Linked DNA regions of Cricetulus griseus. The protein of the gene in region 2 interacts with the protein of the main gene of each other region in a pairwise test. Links are inferred from orthologs where the notes say so. Each region holds a gene or a part of one and is shown on either strand. Other genes may lie near its edges.

Evidence for each region.
Region 1: the proteins of Ctbp2 (region 2) and Zbtb18 interact in binary tests that used the Homo sapiens proteins (3 or more experiments, as listed by UniProt). The two-hybrid records come from large-scale screens. The link is inferred for Cricetulus griseus from reciprocal best matches to the Homo sapiens genes CTBP2 and ZBTB18.
Region 3: the proteins of Ctbp2 (region 2) and Baz2b interact in binary tests that used the Homo sapiens proteins (3 or more experiments, as listed by UniProt). The two-hybrid records come from large-scale screens. The link is inferred for Cricetulus griseus from reciprocal best matches to the Homo sapiens genes CTBP2 and BAZ2B.
Region 4: the proteins of Ctbp2 (region 2) and nucleolar protein 4 interact in binary tests that used the Homo sapiens proteins (3 or more experiments, as listed by UniProt). The two-hybrid records come from large-scale screens. The link is inferred for Cricetulus griseus from reciprocal best matches to the Homo sapiens genes CTBP2 and NOL4.

What each region holds. Positions count from the first base shown.
Region 1 is NC_048598.1:16,377,965-16,382,182, forward strand, and holds the start of Zbtb18 (zinc finger and BTB domain-containing protein 18), read right to left. Parts: upstream 2,801-4,218; 5' UTR 957-2,800; coding exon 944-956; intron 931-943; exon of another isoform or gene 1-930.
Region 2 is NC_048596.1:67,839,129-67,842,628, forward strand, and holds part of Ctbp2 (C-terminal-binding protein 2), read left to right. Parts: intron 1-1,178; coding exon 1,179-1,333; intron 1,334-1,561; coding exon 1,562-1,706; intron 1,707-3,500. UniProt on the Homo sapiens protein: Corepressor targeting diverse transcription regulators. Functions in brown adipose tissue (BAT) differentiation. Isoform 2 probably acts as a scaffold for specialized synapses.
Region 3 is NC_048599.1:114,750,975-114,755,192, reverse strand, and holds the start of Baz2b (bromodomain adjacent to zinc finger domain protein 2B), read right to left. Parts: upstream 2,801-4,218; 5' UTR 2,680-2,800; intron 1-2,679. UniProt on the Homo sapiens protein: Regulatory subunit of the ATP-dependent BRF-1 and BRF-5 ISWI chromatin remodeling complexes, which form ordered nucleosome arrays on chromatin and facilitate access to DNA during DNA-templated processes such as DNA replication, transcription, and repair.
Region 4 is NC_048595.1:214,073,951-214,078,216, reverse strand, and holds the start of nucleolar protein 4, read right to left. Parts: upstream 2,801-4,266; coding exon 2,537-2,800; intron 1-2,536.

The sequences.
Region 1 (4,218 bases), on a different chromosome or scaffold from region 2:
GCCCCACAGCTAACATCAATCCCAACCCTGGAGAGGGCTAAAAATAAAGACTGGAGGCCAGCTCACAAGGTAGCCGTGATCAAATTAGGAGGCTGAGAGGACAGAGAGGGACGAAGAAGGAAGCTTATAAACATCTGATCCAGCTGACTGTGGCCATATGGCAGCTGCTGCCCAGATAAAGAGATTAAGAATAGAGGAGTGCGATTACAGCTGTCTGGCCAATTCAGGCAGCTCGAATCTACAAGTTCTAAATTAGTCGCTAACGCAGAAACTCCTGCAAATAATTATTGTTACGCTGAAATAAAAGATCTCTTAAATATATATCTGAAAGAGAAATGAGGAAACTGGTCAAACTATTCTCCTAGGGATAAAAGTTGTCTTTCTTTTTCTTCTCCCCTCTTCTTAAAAAACAAAAACAAAAAAATCCCAACAACAAAAACCCTCCGGTTTCAAAAGCACTACAGCTGTATGCTGCTTTCAGTAATGCTTGCCGAATGTTTTGGAGAATAAAGTTTCACAGTGGAATTAATTACACAACAACCTAGCTTCTTAACCAGAATAATCTTCTCATATAAGTTTGAAAGCTGGATTCCAGACAGTTTACTGTTTCTGCCCCCCTAAAGCAAAAGGAATCTAAACAGCAGTGAACAACAAAAGGCATCTTAATCCAAAGTGATCTCAAAAAGCCATATTCCAAAGCCTTTCTTACCATCTGAAAACTTGAAATATTTCTGTGTATTAAAGTTATTTACTTGCTCAAAGAAAAGAAATAAAAATTCAAACCAAGCAAGCCCAAGACTTCCAGCTCAAGACCATCACTTCATGCTCAATTTCACACATTATTCATAAAGTGGATTACAAAAGTAATGTGATGTTTTTTTAAAAAAATTAAATAAAACACCCAAACAGAAAGATGCTCAATCTAATCTCTTGCTACTCCTACCTTTAGGACACATAAACTTGATTAAGTCCTTCCCTCGGAGTCTTGCTGGCTCCAGGTCTGTTACATCGGTGGAAAAAAAGCAGACTAAGAGAGACAGATGCAAAGTGGAGATGATGTTGGAGAGGAATGAGATACCTTCTCCACCACAGATCCGCACACACTAGCTCCCTGTCTGTGTGTTAGAATAAAAGGCTGAGGGATGGCAGGCTGTCAGCTGCTCTGACATCATGTTCAGATGGAAATGCTACCTCCAGCTGTGCTCCTTTAATGCCATATGCTACTCCTCTACACTCCTGCCACCAGCTTTTTCTTAGGAGAACTTTTCTCTTCTGTTAGTATAAACAAAATACTTCAAAGTCTTCCTTTTTTTCCCCCCAAACTTTCTAACAGAAGAAATTGAAAAACTCAGCATATGGAGTCCTACTGTATTTATGGAATCGCAACACTTCTGCCTCAAGTTGGTGGACTGGCTTACATATGACAGCACACTCAGGCTCGGTGCTATTCAGGAAACCCACATTCACTTTTATTCAACTCCAACGTCTAGTTTCAAAGGCAGCTTAGGGATATTTTTAAACCAACCCATTTGACATCTCCAGCCCCACTTCGGCATTATTACAGCATGTTTTTTTTTTTCCTCCCCCCGCGGAGATAATGGTAGACATCTCCAAAATGTTGGCAGACTTATTAAGAGCTATTACTTCAGCGTGGTTCACCTTATTATTTCACTCTTACTTAGCAACTTATCTGCAACTACCTCCCAGGAAAATAATTCACACTGCCACCGTGAATGCAGATTTCCATTCTCAGCGTCAACAAACTGAAACTGCACTTTGTGAAATCCTGGAAAGTATTTCGGTTCAATAAAGGCAAATTAATAAACCGACACAACCTGCTGCAGTCACTTAGGATGACTGTTTGGCCACATCTCATGTTTCTGCTCAGAAAAAGGCGTCACTTTGTCTTGCCCTTCTTCCCTATCCCTTTGGGCTAAAGGGTTGTGATCAGCAGGAGTGTAGACTTTGGGAACTTTCTTGGCTGGAGTTTGTGGGTCTTAGTTTCTAATGGCTGATGAAATGCTAAGGTAACCCGGGCTGGGCCGCCCGGTTCCCTGCAAGGTGCTGCGACAACTATGAATGTCAGACACATCTATCTCTACAGACTCTTGGGAGGTCGAGGAGTAGAAAAAAGAAACTGGGGCCTGAGGCGCAAACGTCCCAACCCGGGCGACAGCCACTCTTAGGCTCGCCTTAGAAAACGGAGGCAGGGAGCTAGAGAACAAAACCCCAACTCTGTCCTGCCCTCGCTCACGAGTCACTAAGAAACCTAACTTTCTCTAACTTCGCGGTGAATGACATAATTCTGAACTCGTTCTGGAGGCACACTGGGCAGACACATTACTTCCCTGCTACACACACCCTCTTCTCCGCGGATGCCCTCGCCCCATTCCAATATATCCGACGTTAATCACCCCGTTTACTCACTGGGGTGATGGTGGGGGTGAGTGACAGTTTAATGAGCCCCAAGGACCGCAATGGCCCGGAGACATCCCGTCCAAGTCTCGCTACCGCGGACCCGCGGGGGCTCTGTGAGGTTTGGGGTTTTGTTTCTCAGAGGTGGGGGCAGGGTGCCCCGGGTGTGTTTGAGGTTTTGGGGTGGAGGGGGGGGATGCAAATCTTCGCGCAGTTCGCCGTGCATAAAGCACTTGGGGAAAGAGGAAGGGTGAAACCACTGGGAAGGAGGTGCAGGGCAGAGAGCCGGTGCAGCAGGAAAACACCTTCCACAACGGCCGAGAAAACAGCCCCGGGTCGCGGCAACAACAAAAGAAAAGTCGCAAGAAGCGGCGCGGCGACCGCTCCCCGCCGCCGCCGCCGCCGCGCGCCAGCCCCGGGCCTCCCGGCAACCGCAACCCGGGCGCCGCGCCCTCCCCCCCGGCCCTGCAGCTGCACCGGCCCCGGAGCCGCGGCCGTCCCGGGCGCTGCAGCTGCGGCGGCCCGGACCCCTCCCCGCCCGCTCGCCCGCCCGCCCGCCGCCCTCCGCACGGGAGGCGCCGCCGCAGTGCACCGGCCGCCCCGCGCCGCAGCTGCCGGGGAGCGCGGCCAGGCGAGGCGAGGCGAGGCGAGCCCGCACCGCACCGCACCGCACCGCCGCCGCCCCCTCCGCCGCACTAACTAACTCCCCCGGCGGGACCCACGGCCGGCAGCGGGGCAGGGCGGGGCGGGGACTCACACGGAGCGGCCGAGTCGCCGCGTCCCCGCCGCCGTCCTCCTCCTCCTCCTCCTCTGCCGCCGCCGCTGGACTTGTGGGCGTCCTCCGCCGGCCCCCGCCCGCCGCCGGCCCCGGCCCGGGCCCGCGCGCCCCCGCCGCCCCCGCCCGCGTGGCAGCCTGAGGCGCGCCGCCGAGCCACGGGCCACTCTTTAACGGCCATCAGGCAGCCCCAGCGCGGCCGCAGCCTGCCAGACGTACGGGCGCGGAGCGGGCGGCGGGCGGGCGGCGGGCGCGGCGGGCGGGCGAGCGCGGCGCCGGGCCGGCGGCGGGCGGGGCGGGCGGACGACGCACACGCACGCACGCCGCGGCGCGCGGCCCAGATGTGGCCCCGCCCGGCCGGGCCGCCCCGCGCCGGCCGCTCGGCGATTGAGCGAAAGCGGCGGGCCCCGGTCGCTGGCCCGCCCTCGGTCGCAGCGTTGCCCAATAGAAGAGCGGCGTGACGGGGTGGGCGGAGGGGCGGCGGGACTGACGGGGAAGCTCGGCCAATGGCAGTGGCGGGTAGGAGCTGCCGCCCGCGCGCGCCAATCGCAGGGGGCGACTGTTGGGTGGGCGTGGCCTCTTCGAGGGGGAGGCGGAGTCCGCGGGCCGCGGCGGCGGCGGCGGCGCTGGCGCTGGCGGCGGCGGCGGCAGCGGCGCCCCTCTGGGTGACTTGGCCGTGAGAAAGTGAAAGGAGCCCGCAGGCGGCGGCGACAGCTGCGCGGGGAGGGGCCTGTTTCCAGGCTGGAGACGAGCGCGTTCTGGGGGTGTGGAGTGAGAGAGTGAGTCTGCGTGCACCGCGACGGCCTCGAGTGTACTTTTACACGGGGCAGGTGTCCCGGGGAGGCAGTGCGCGCGGGGCCGCAGCTGGCCGGGGCCGGCCTGGGGCGGCTGGGTCTGGCCCTCCTGCGGTGCTCGCTTGGGCCGCGTCCCGGGGACGCGCCGCGCCGCGCCGCCTCCGGCCTGTGGTGTCGGCCGCCAGGTGCACGGGGGCCGCCAGCTCGGAGCGGCTGCGAGAGGCGCTTTTTCCC
Region 2 (3,500 bases):
CTGCCAGACGCTCAACCCATGTTCTTAGACTCTGGCCGTTTTGCACGCTCCCTTAGTAAAAAGAAGGCAGGGTGGCATCAGAACCTCACATACCTCAGCTGCTCATCTGGTTAGCAAGCAGTGCTCTGTAGCTGATTGACAGGATGAATACATCAACAACTGTGTGATGTCACTGTCACCTCACCTTCTGTGACAGCAGCCACCTCCAGGGACCTCACCTGGACCTACTGGGGATAGTGAGGCTTTCTTTTCTTTTCTTTTTTTCCGAGATAGGGTTTCTCTGTGGCTTTGGAGGCTGTCCTGGAACAACTAGCTCTTGTAGACCAGGCTGGTCTCAAACTCACAGAGATCCACCTGCCTCTGCCTCCCTAGTGCTGGGATTAAAGGTGTGCGCTACCAACACCCGGCTGAGGCTTTGTTTTCTTATAGGACCAACCTGTCAGTTACCTGAGCCATGGGCCAGTGAGGACTTGGGGTGTACCCTGCTGCTCACTACCTTGCCATTGCCAGTATGAAAGGATTTTAGAACTTGGGGCACGACCACTCAGGCAGGTGGCAGGTGAATGCTGGGAATGCTATAATATCAGGGTCTGGCTGCCATTCAGTCAGATTCCCTTTCAACACAGCTTGTTCCCGTAAGACCAGGACAAAGACATTCTCTCTACTCTGGGCTCACTGTCTGCCCTGACTGCCAGTATGGTGTGAGGATGTCTCTGCATGCAGTGAGAGGGTGCCAGAGGGAGATGGACACAGCTCTCGGGTCTGTGTATGTTCACATGTGAAATCATAGGACAACTTGCAGGGGTCAGTTCTCTCCTGCACTGTGGGAGTCAGTTACCCTGAAGCCATGCGGCTTGGTGGCAAGTGCCTTTACCCATTGAGCCATCTCACTGGACCAGAGTTTTACTTTATGGGGCAATTCAAGTGAGCTATACAATTGCCCCTCTGGGTCTTAGAGCGAAGTGAGTTCATACCAGAACTCTGCACTTACCCTCCAGTGATCTAGGAACATCACTACCCCTCACTCCCTGCTGCCGCCCCCCCCCCCCCCGTTAGCTGGTAAAGCTGTGTCATGTCCTTGGCTCCACCAGACTTGTGTGCTCTCTGCTTGCCTTGGCATCAGCCACTGAGGACACCCTCCCTACAGTGTACTTACCACACATTTCTTCTCCTTATAGGTATCCGCCCTCAGATCATGAACGGCCCCCTGCATCCCCGCCCCCTAGTGGCACTGCTCGACGGCAGAGACTGTACCGTGGAAATGCCCATCCTGAAGGATCTGGCCACTGTGGCCTTCTGTGATGCACAGTCTACTCAGGAAATCCATGAAAAGGTGGGTTGCACCCCACCTTACCTGGGCCCCTCCAGGCCAGCTGATGTCAGTAAGCACAGTAGTCACACACAGGAATGCCTAAAGTGTATGGAATTCCCGATGTCCTTAGCCTACTCTGCCACCCTCAGGCACTTACTCCATGTCTCCATCCTATAATTTCTGCTAACAAAGTCTCAGAGCCTTGTGTTCCCAGGGGTTCTGACCTGTGACTCATGTCCCTGCCCACAGGTGTTGAATGAGGCTGTGGGTGCCATGATGTACCACACTATCACCCTCACCAGGGAAGACCTGGAGAAGTTCAAGGCTCTTCGTGTGATCGTGAGAATTGGCAGTGGCTATGACAACGTGGACATCAAGGCTGCTGGTGAGCTCGGTGAGTCGAAAGGCCATGCTGGCTGCCTGGAGGCCACACTCAGTAATGGGCAGAACGCAGAAGGCAGGGCAGTTGTCCTAGGGAGTCTTGTTTCCATTTTCCCATGCACCTTTGCCCAGCCTCAGCTCGAAGCAGGTTCAGGGGCTGGAAGATCTTGAGATAAGCAGTAGATTAGTGAGTTCTTCATTGAGCACACCAAAAGAAGCTGGCCACCACCTGCTGTCCATTCCCAGGGTGCTTCTCAGAGAAAACCACAGGCGGGTAGAAAGCTAAGCAGGAAGGTAGAGTACCTGAGTGGCACAGGGGACTCCTGCCCACACCCCCATGAGAATTGGTGTACACTGGCAGCAGAGCCTGGGGGGGTCAGTGGGGAGTGCCTCAGAGCCACGTATTTTGTCTGAATAAAGTGTGCCGCCTCTTTATTCATGAGCCTCATGCATTTGAAATACCTCAGAATAACTAGAAACCCATGTACCGATGGTGCCACAGCAGCCTGAGCATAGTAATGCTCGTACCATCAGCCTGGGCCTACCACCTGCTGCTGCCTCACCCCAAGGGCTCCTGGAACTAACTCCTAGGACAGCAAAGCCAGGTGTGCGCAGTGCCTCACAGTCATCTCTGCACCGGGCCTAACGCTAGACTCGACAGCTCTGTCTATAACCCAGACACACCCGCCATGCTGGCCACTGAAGCAGCACTGGATCCAACTTCCCTTCACAGTCTGAGCCTGCAGCTTTGAGAGGGGTGGGTGCCTGTTTTTAGTTTTCTGTTTCTTTGCATTTAGAGCAGCAGTTACTATGAGCCTGAACCCCAGGATAAGAAAAGGACAAAGGAAGCTGTGCCGGGTGGCACCAGCCAATGCCCACAGTATGTCTGTGGGGCAACCTCACAGGGGAAGGTAGACATCTCATGTAAAGCAGAATCAGTCCTATTCAGCCCGGGCTTTTGAGAGTCCTGGGTAATCATGGCTTCCTATGTCCCTACCCTAAGCAGCCTTGTTCTTTTCCAGTTACAGCCCCTCTGAGCCCCTCTTTGGCAACAGAAGAAACTTGTTGTGATTGATGTGAGGCCACGTACCTGAGTTTAATTGAGAAAACTACCTGGTGCGGTGTTATACACCTGTTATCCAGGGAGGTCTCTTGAGTTTGAGGCCACCCTGGTCTGCATAGCAAGTTTGAGCCTAGCCTTAGCTACTTAGACCCTGTCTCAGAAAAAGAAAGAAAAGAAAAAAGATGTTTCCCAGACACGAGCAAGTATGCTTGTGTTTAAAAATATGTATCTGAGCCTGAAGGAAGTGGCCACACACCTTTAATCTCAGTACTCTGGGAGGCAGAGGCAGGTAGATCTCTGAGTTCAAGGCCAGCTTGGCCAATGGAGTTAATTCCAGGCCAGGGCTGTTACATAGAGAAACCCTGTCTAGAAAAAAAGCAAACAAAAGACGTGTGTCTGTCAGGAATAGAGATAAATTCCCTGAGTTGGGACTATGCAGGAAGACATTCAGCTTTCTAGCCCATTGTCTCTCACACATAGTTCCTGTTGGTAGTCAGCCCCTCTTCTCCAGTCAGAGTCCAAGAAACAGACTGCCTAGGGCCAGAGCGTTGAAAAGTGTAAAGGGGACACGAAGTGTCACTATTGTGGCCCATTGTGATTGGAGTGGCTATTCAGAAGACTTCTGCTAATGAAATAGATGGTCCTCCAGCAGTGTCTGTCATTTAGCTCTAAGTACATATGGTGCCTATCAAGTCAGCCAGCAGACCCTTTGGAGAGTAGTAAGACGAGTGGCAGGTGTGCCCT
Region 3 (4,218 bases), on a different chromosome or scaffold from region 2:
TCCCAAGATTGAGCAGCTAAGATACTGTTTTCACTAGTATAAAGAGAATGCACAGGTTAACATAGTCAATGTTATTAGTTTAACCCACATTAGTACAGATACTATTATCTAGATTTAAAAATATTTACCTATTCCTATTTCTCTGTAAACCATTATATGACCATATTAAGTTCTTATAAACAAATTCCTGTTTTAAAAACATACAATCTAATATCCTAAAAGAAAATTCTTTGTCACCATAGCTTAAAAAATTTTACATTCAACATTTGCTTCAAATATTTGTAAAATCTTACTTTTCTACTGAAACACACAAAAGCATAATGTCATCTAAATTATTGATTGTGCACAGTGTTTACAATAGGTGTGAGACATCACCGTACTTAACTACCATTTTCTTAAACTGCTTATCCTCTGTTGCTTCCATTTATAATCTGCCAAATCTTCTGGTCCTTTGTTGCATGTATAATTTAGAACCATCTGTTCTATGTGCTTTTAACTATTTAAACATTTTTCACCTACCTACAATTCACTAAATAGCAGACATTCAATTCAGTAAAGATTTCTATGTAACATTTTACATTCAACAAATTTCTGGATAAGTAACAGAAAACAGCAAAGGATATTGTTACAGAAATTTTAAAAAACATACCATTTACAATGTAAGTCTTCATATATTAGAAAATCTTAATGTATTTAGAATTTTTTCTATTAGCTTTTTTTTTAAGTTCATTGTAGTCAATGTTTTTCCCCAACACAGAAGACAAAGGGAATGCAAATTAAAGACAGACAGTTTCATGTCCTTGTTAGAAGAGATGTAAATATGCTGACTGAAAATGACTACTGGAGACAGAATTACGCTTTCCCATTCAATTTACTGTGCCTATTTATATACTCGTCAGTGAGTGTATCATTAAGTGTGGTCATGTGACCAGCTCAACTTTTTTTTGTAAGGTGAAAAACTACTTTAGACCAATTTTAATAGACTTTTTATCATTATTTTTATGATGGTTGATAGTTTACAGCAAAAGGTTGCAAAATTATCTTTTAAAGTTAATTCTGCCTTTTATATGCTAAACTACGTTTTTCTGCCAACTTTTTGACTTCAATATTTACTACTAAAACGTAAAAGCATCAAGAATCTCATGATATTCTGAATAGTTCTTCTAAAATGTAAAAAAAACAAAACAAAACAAAACAAAAAAACCCCACGAAAGACTAGACCACAATTACAAAAGGAAAGGTACATAACCTAAGATATGTAAATATTAACTAAGCTAAATTTGTTAACTCTATGGAACCACATAAGAAAGGAAATATATTCTTACAAATACATTTGAAAATTTGAAGAATAAAAACTGAATACACAAAACTAGGTGAATACTAAGTGGCACAATAAAAGTTTCGATAATTTTTTAAAATAATCTTCCTATTGCTACCAAACATTAAATGTGCGGATTTTGCGATTCGTTCTGAATGCAAAATAAAAAATAAAAATAAACCCTTAACTTATCGGTAGACTTACACAGTAACTAACACGATTCCATAAAACGAGAACATTTTGAGGAAAACACAAAACACACACACACACACACACACACACACACACACACACACACACACACACACACACACTTTGGGGAAATTTTCCTGGTAAAGTTTACATGACGTCACATGGCCCCCTGAACCGTTCCTAAACTTTGAGCCTTATCCAGACACACTTTTTGCATTTCTATAGCTTCTTTCCCTTCCTTAAAAATTAAAAGAGAGAGAGACAGACTTGGGAATAAAAATTGCCCAAGATGGCGAAACGCTTGTTGTTTAGAGGACAGGGGGAAAAATGGAGGATATTGTAATATACACAAAGGGATAAATTTCAACAACTCGGCCACGGACTGCAGCTGCTTCTCTCTTTACAAGGAAACAACACACAAAAGATAAATACTGAGGGGAGAAAGGGGCAGAGGAGCCAGCCCCCACCCCCAGGGCCGGCTCCGAGTCTCCGCACACTTCCCAGCCTTTCCAGATCCCAATTCTGGGGTTCGCCGAACTACTTTAGGGGAGGGGAGCGGGACGTCGCGGGGGAGGGCGCGGAGACCGAGGGCAGGGAGCCCAGCCCGCCACGACGGGACCTGCTGGCCAGGCCGCCGGGGACCCGGGAAGCGGGGAGCCCGCTCGACCCGGTGTGCCAGGTACCCGGCGCCGGGCCGCAGCCCCACCCCCCCGGCTCTGGAGACCCGGCGGCCTGGCGAGGGTCGGCGGCGCGGGCGCGAGGCTGCGGACCGGGGACGGAGGCGGGCAGGGCCGGGGCCTCGCCAACTGCCCCGCGGGGCGCCGCAGCGGGCCGGGCAGGAGAACGCCGCGAGGCCGGCGGCGAGGGCGGCCGGCACAATGGAGGGACGAGGCCCGGCCGCCCGATCCCCGCCCGCACTCCCAGCAAAGTTTCCGTTCCGCCGAGCCCGCACCCCCACCCCGCCCGGGACCAGGTCCCTGCGCCCTCCGCCCGGAACTCTACTCAGGACCCCAGAGCCATCGCGGCGTCGCTGCCCGCACAACAAAGAGACACACCAGGCGGCGCGGTAAACAGCGACGGGCGCCTCGGGAGGGCTCCAGCCCGCAGCCGCCGCTCTCCGCCCGGATCCCACCTCTCCCGCACCCCTGCACCCTGGCTCTCAAACTCACCTTCACTTTCGAACTGAGTTGCGGTGGAAGGGATTTTCGCCCTTCCCGGGTGCAGGTTAAGCTTTTCGGAATCCCCACCGCCTCCTTATTTCTCTTATAATTTCTACAAGAAAGTCTAGGGAGTTGGAGTGGAGGTGAGATCCGTGATCGCGAAAGCCCTGGCTCCCTCCGTCCCCGTCTTCCGCCGCTCTCTCTCTGATTAGTTCCTATCCAGCAGCAGATTGAAGCAGGAGATGATTCTTCTCAAGGTTTGTTCAGCAGCTTCACTTCTAGGCGAAGGCTTCATGAACCAAGTGACGTCAACCAACAAGGCTTCTCTCTCTCTCCTCTCTCTAACAATGAAAGTTGCTGTTAACAAGGGGAAAAAGAGCGAGAGAATTGTTTATACCATTTCAGTTCCAATAATAAATGACCTATCAGCTCTAAAAGGATCCAGGGGAGGGGGCTGCTTCTTCATTCCAAGAATACTGTATATGTGAGTTTGCACCGCTCCTCGTCCCAGGAAAAAGTTAAGAAACTTAAATGTTTTGTTTTGCTTTTCAAAGGGGGAGGGGGCAGAACTGAATATTTAATTTTTTAAAAAAACGTAAAGACTATTAAGGAACATAGATTAGCAATCTTCACCAACTTTTATGTTTGTAAACTAGAAATTGTGTTGGAGCCAACAAGCTAAATTAATGTGCCAAGAATTTGTGCATGCTAGGACTCAAAAAGCAGGGCGCAAGGCAAGGTATACCACTGCTTTTCCATGGAGTTAAACTGGTTGTAATGTTCATGGTTTGAGTCAAGATTAAGATTCAAATTAAAGACGTTTAAACTAAGTCCTTTTGCAGTTACTGGTATAAATTGTAAGCCACAGTCTCAATTTTTTTCTAGTTTCCGTTGGGGTGGGGGGGGGGACGGACTAGTTTAAATGTAAGAACTAAAAACACTTTAAAAGACCAGTTGCCCATTACCAACTAAACACGCTGTGTACTATCTGATCCCCAGAATTTCAGGCAGCTGACTCAGTTTTTACCCTTCCACTCCCCAATTCCCTTCAACCAATCAAGTTAAACTAAAGGTAAAGTGCAGCCTGTTCCCTTCAACAGTGTACCCGCGGCCTCCTAAAAAACTATTTTTTAAAAAAAAGGTAGAAAAATTCATAACCATTGTACACTTTATTACCCAGGAAGAAAGGTAATTTAAAAAAAATATTCATTAAGGTGTTTTTCTCCCTTTAGAACACAATAAAGTCTTGAAGTTTATATAGTTACAAATTAGGTAATTTGGTTTTCAGGATGAAGACCAAGTAAAAATTTAGTTATTGGAGAATATTTGACCATATATTATTTTATGCATACATAATGTGGCTAGATGTATCTTAAAAGATGCTATTGTTTTATGTTTCCTCCTCAACCACTGGCTGTGATTTTAATTGTGCTGGAGGATCTTCATTAGTATTAACACATGGGGAGATTTCACAAAGCTGCTTCATTAGGAAGAAAAAAAGCTGGCAGACTAGGTCTTTCTGCATGCACGGAGAATGTCAGCCTTACC
Region 4 (4,266 bases), on a different chromosome or scaffold from region 2:
CAAAGCATATCTCACCAAAAGAAAGGCTAGCTAATGTCCCTCAGACCCCAGGGAGCTCAGAACAACTCTCTGTCTACTTGAAAACACCATTTACAGGCAGTTCCCCATTTCAACCAATGTATGCAATATACACTCTCTGAATGAGAAGAAAACACATTTCTGTCCTTTTGGAGATTGCACCATGCCATGATGAAGACAAATGAATTTTTTTTTTTTGGTGGGGGCAAAAGCATTCAGACATTGGGGAAGAGGATAAAGGGATGTTTTATTTATTTTGAACTGATTGAAACTGTGATTGGCTGTCTCAGAGAGAAGGTGGAGCTTATAGTTCTGTGACAGGAGCAGCAGAATATGTTTCATAAAGAACAGTAGAAGAGCTCATGAATTAAAATCCTATTCAACATTTCAAAATAGGCTTGAATGGAACACAGAGTGCTTTAAATACTACACGGAAATCATTTCACAATATCACCTGGCAGATCACATTGTCTCTCATTAATATATGGAATCTTTACTGAAAAGAGAAACACGTGCTACGTTATTATCCCTGCAGCTGTCACTCTCTATTAGATGTCTTAGCAGTGATTCTCTGGCAGCCCCACATTTATTTTTTTGACATGAAAATATGGGTGTCACAGCATGTGAATGCTGGTTTGAATGACTCATACCCACGATTATCTTGGTGCCTTGCAACTTTATAAAATTTGTTATTTAGAATTTAAATACTCTTCAAAGGGACACATAAAAACACATATAATAGTTATAATCAAATCTAAGCAAGCATGAACTCACTGGAACCCAACAGAGAATCTAAATTTAACACAAAAAAAGAATGAAAAACTGAAAAACTTTCTGGTTAGCAATGAAATATAATATAACCTACAGTATTTATGTATGACCATGTTAAACAGTATTTTAAAAATATATAACAATATTTTACTCCATCAGCTAGAATTATAATTCACTTTGCTTATCAATAAATTATTTTTCCTGTCCACTCTTTATATTGGTCCCCATCCAAGTGAAACAAAGCAATTCCTCTTCTGGCTCACACAGATGTAAAGCACCCTTACTCTAAATGATGCCAAACTGGTCATTTTCATCTAGCCAGGCAAGCTAATGCCTCACCATTGTCTTTAACCTAGTTCTGTGCTACAGGAGAAAACAAATGCGACATTTACCTCTACTTCCTGCAAACCTTTCAATAACTGAACCTCGAGAAGAAGAAAAAAAACTTTTCTGTGTTTCCAGTTCATCTTTGTTTTCAGATTTCCCATATAAATTCCAAAAGCAACCTCCATCCTTCAAGCCACCTTTCCCAATTAATCTTGGGAAGCCAAAGGCTTTTTCCAAACCTGAGAGAGTCCTCCAGACGGAACTTGTTAGAGCCCTTCATGTACCTCAGAGAAAGCAGAGACTTCTCCAGAAGCCTCCTTTGCTAACATCCTCAGGGGGCTGTGCACTGGGAAACAGTCGCCAGTTAAAAAGGGGGGTGGGGTGGGGGGCAGGAGCAAAGCTCAACGAATCCCAAAGCGATACAAAAATACAAAGGGTGCCAGATAGATCCTCCACCCCCACTCTAGGTGAGTACCCATTATGAGGCAGCTAGGTGTTAATACATCTAACCTGAGATCTTACTTGTAGCCCCGTGTTCCCATCTTGCAAAGGAAGCGGATGCAGCTGCAACCTCCCAGCCCCACAGGCATCTGCGTTTTAGGATGAGACATACCAGTCTCACAGCCGGTTCCTCGTTCACTACAGCTTTATGGCTAAGAAACCAGAACAAACCCAGAAAGAGGAACAAATACAGCATTTGATCGCGCCCAACCCCGTCTCTCTTTGTTGTGCATCGCCTAACTGAGGAAGCTTCGGTGGTGCAAGTGAAGAAGGGGATGGGGGGCGGGGAGGAGGAATGTCCAGGACCTTATCTGCCAACCAAACACTCCTGGCTAGGATCTCAGGGGGCGACCGAGGCGCGCAGACAGTCCTGTGTCTTCCCCGCTGGTGGTCTCACAACAAAACTCGATAATGTCTTGGGGAAAGCCCCCAAACCACCTCAACCGCCACATTCGGGCTTTGTGCCAATGAGGAGACACAGTAGCCCATCTATCCATCAGCATCGCCTTATCAGAGCGTGTGGCTGGGCTTCCAGCCTGGCCTTTATGCTCCCTGACGGAGGTAGGACACTCGCCAGCCTCCCAGCGAAGGGCATGGGACAATGGCCTGGCCAGGGGAACACCAGGCGCAGCCAGACGCGGTGAAGGCAAGCTCCAGCTACCGTCCCACAGCTCAGCCCCAAGGCAGGCAGGGCCGCCAGCTCTGAAGGTTCGCTGTTGCTTTAAAATAAAGGACCACAAAGACTTTCTAGAAGGGAAATCACGCCCGGCCACTGCGTCTAGGGAAGACTCGGGAGGGGGTTGAGGAAGGGGTGGGGGCTAGGAGCCAACAGTGGCTCCAGCATTCTCCCTGCCTTCCCCTCTCTCCGCCCTCCCTTCCGGGCTGCTTCGTCAGACAAATAACAGAGAAGGCGGCTCACCGTGGTCTTGACCCGCACGAAGAGCACTTGCTTGGCGCCGCCGCCTCCCCCGTGGACCTCATCAGGCTGGCCCAGCTGGAAACCCTTCGATTTGACCCAGAATTTAAATTTGGCATTGTCGGTAGAGCTTGACTCGGAGCCGTTGAGTAGCTGGACGATCCTCTCGTATTTCTTACGGGTCACCGTCTTGGTCTTGCCTGAGTCCCCGTAAGTCCTAAGGCACCAGTCCTGGAACTGGCGGTACATGTCGCGCTCGCTCTCCATGTTCCCCGGTGATGTCGCGGGCCGGATGCTCCCAGCGCACTTCGCACCTGTTCACTCCGGGTTCATGAAATATGCAGTCCAGGCCACGATGCAAGGACGCTAGGTCCTGGCCCAGCCACGGGAGCCTGCCTCCGGTGGGGTGGGGGGGAGGACCAGGGAGAGAGGAGGAGGGTCCGGATGGGCACCAGCAATCAATGCCCTGTGCTACCAAGTCTGGTTTGTTCCTAATTGCAAAGGATGTCTCGGACGCTTTTTTCGTGCTCTCAACGGTCGTTCCGTTTAATACTGTGTGACCAGCACCATCCCAAGAGCAGCTGACCCAGAAGATCTGGGTTTCTGAATAATTAAAATCCCATTCCTCGGTTTATTAAAAATCCCAATATTGACTTGAGATGCTCCCTAGATGCCTCGCCCCAGGGTTGGGTACAGGGCAGGGCAGGTGGAGCGCAAAGCAGTCTCCTGGCGCGCGCCCCAGAAGCTTCCCCAGTGGATGGTCCAGGAGACAGGGCTGCGCCTCTAGCGAAAGCAGCCCTCAGGCGAGCCTCAAAGGGCACATGGGTCCCTGGATTCTCCTCCTTGCTGGGTCCTGCTCAGCCTTGGCCTTCTATGTGACAGCACTAGAGAGACAGAAAGTTCTTACCTGTCATGTTGGTCAGCCTATCAGATCCTGTTTTACAGGAATTTAAAAGAAGCCGAGGTATCCTAAAAGCGACTCAACATGCCATTTCTTCGGATGTATTAGGCTAAATTCCAGCTCTCAGGTAGGTTGTAAGAGTTAGGTTTCAGAAACTGGTCCAGTATTAATAGATATCTGTTTATAGTTCTATAGGGTAGATGGAGTTACCCAAACAGGAATCCGGTCCAGGGAATGTGGTAGCAGAGAGGCAGGCCGCTGCCTGGGGCTCTTCAGGATGATGAAGGTGTTCCAAGATAGGACCCACTTGGTTCCGCTGAAGTGGGTACAAGACATGGAAATAAGTTTACCGCACAGAACCTTATGCGTAAAATTAAAATGCAGAGAGCAGTCCTTCCCCCTTCCTGGGTTATAGTTTGCAGTTCACGCGGGAGGTTTCGGTTGTCTATTTTCCCACTGCCACGTCATGGACCCCCCTCCGCTGCTCAGAGGAGGCAAATCGGAGTTGCTCCTGACGATTTTCCCAAGCAAAGGAAGTCAGCGATCCCTCCATCAGGATTTCCACCCGTGTGTCACCGTGGCGCTGAAACCAGGGGAGTTCCAGTCCTGCTCTCTGTGGCCGCTCTTCTTTATTGCACTCCCTGCCAAGGCCCCCGCGGGTCGCAGGGTTCGGCCCAGCCTGTCCAATGGCCCGACCCGCACCGTGTTCCTTGAGGGGTCCGATCCCAGCCTGGTGGCTTGCTATGGTCTCTCCAGCGAAAGCCCCAGTGGGAACGCTGCTCGGTCCTCCTGCAGCCCAGTCCCGGTGCTCTCAGGCTGCTCAGTGGCTCCC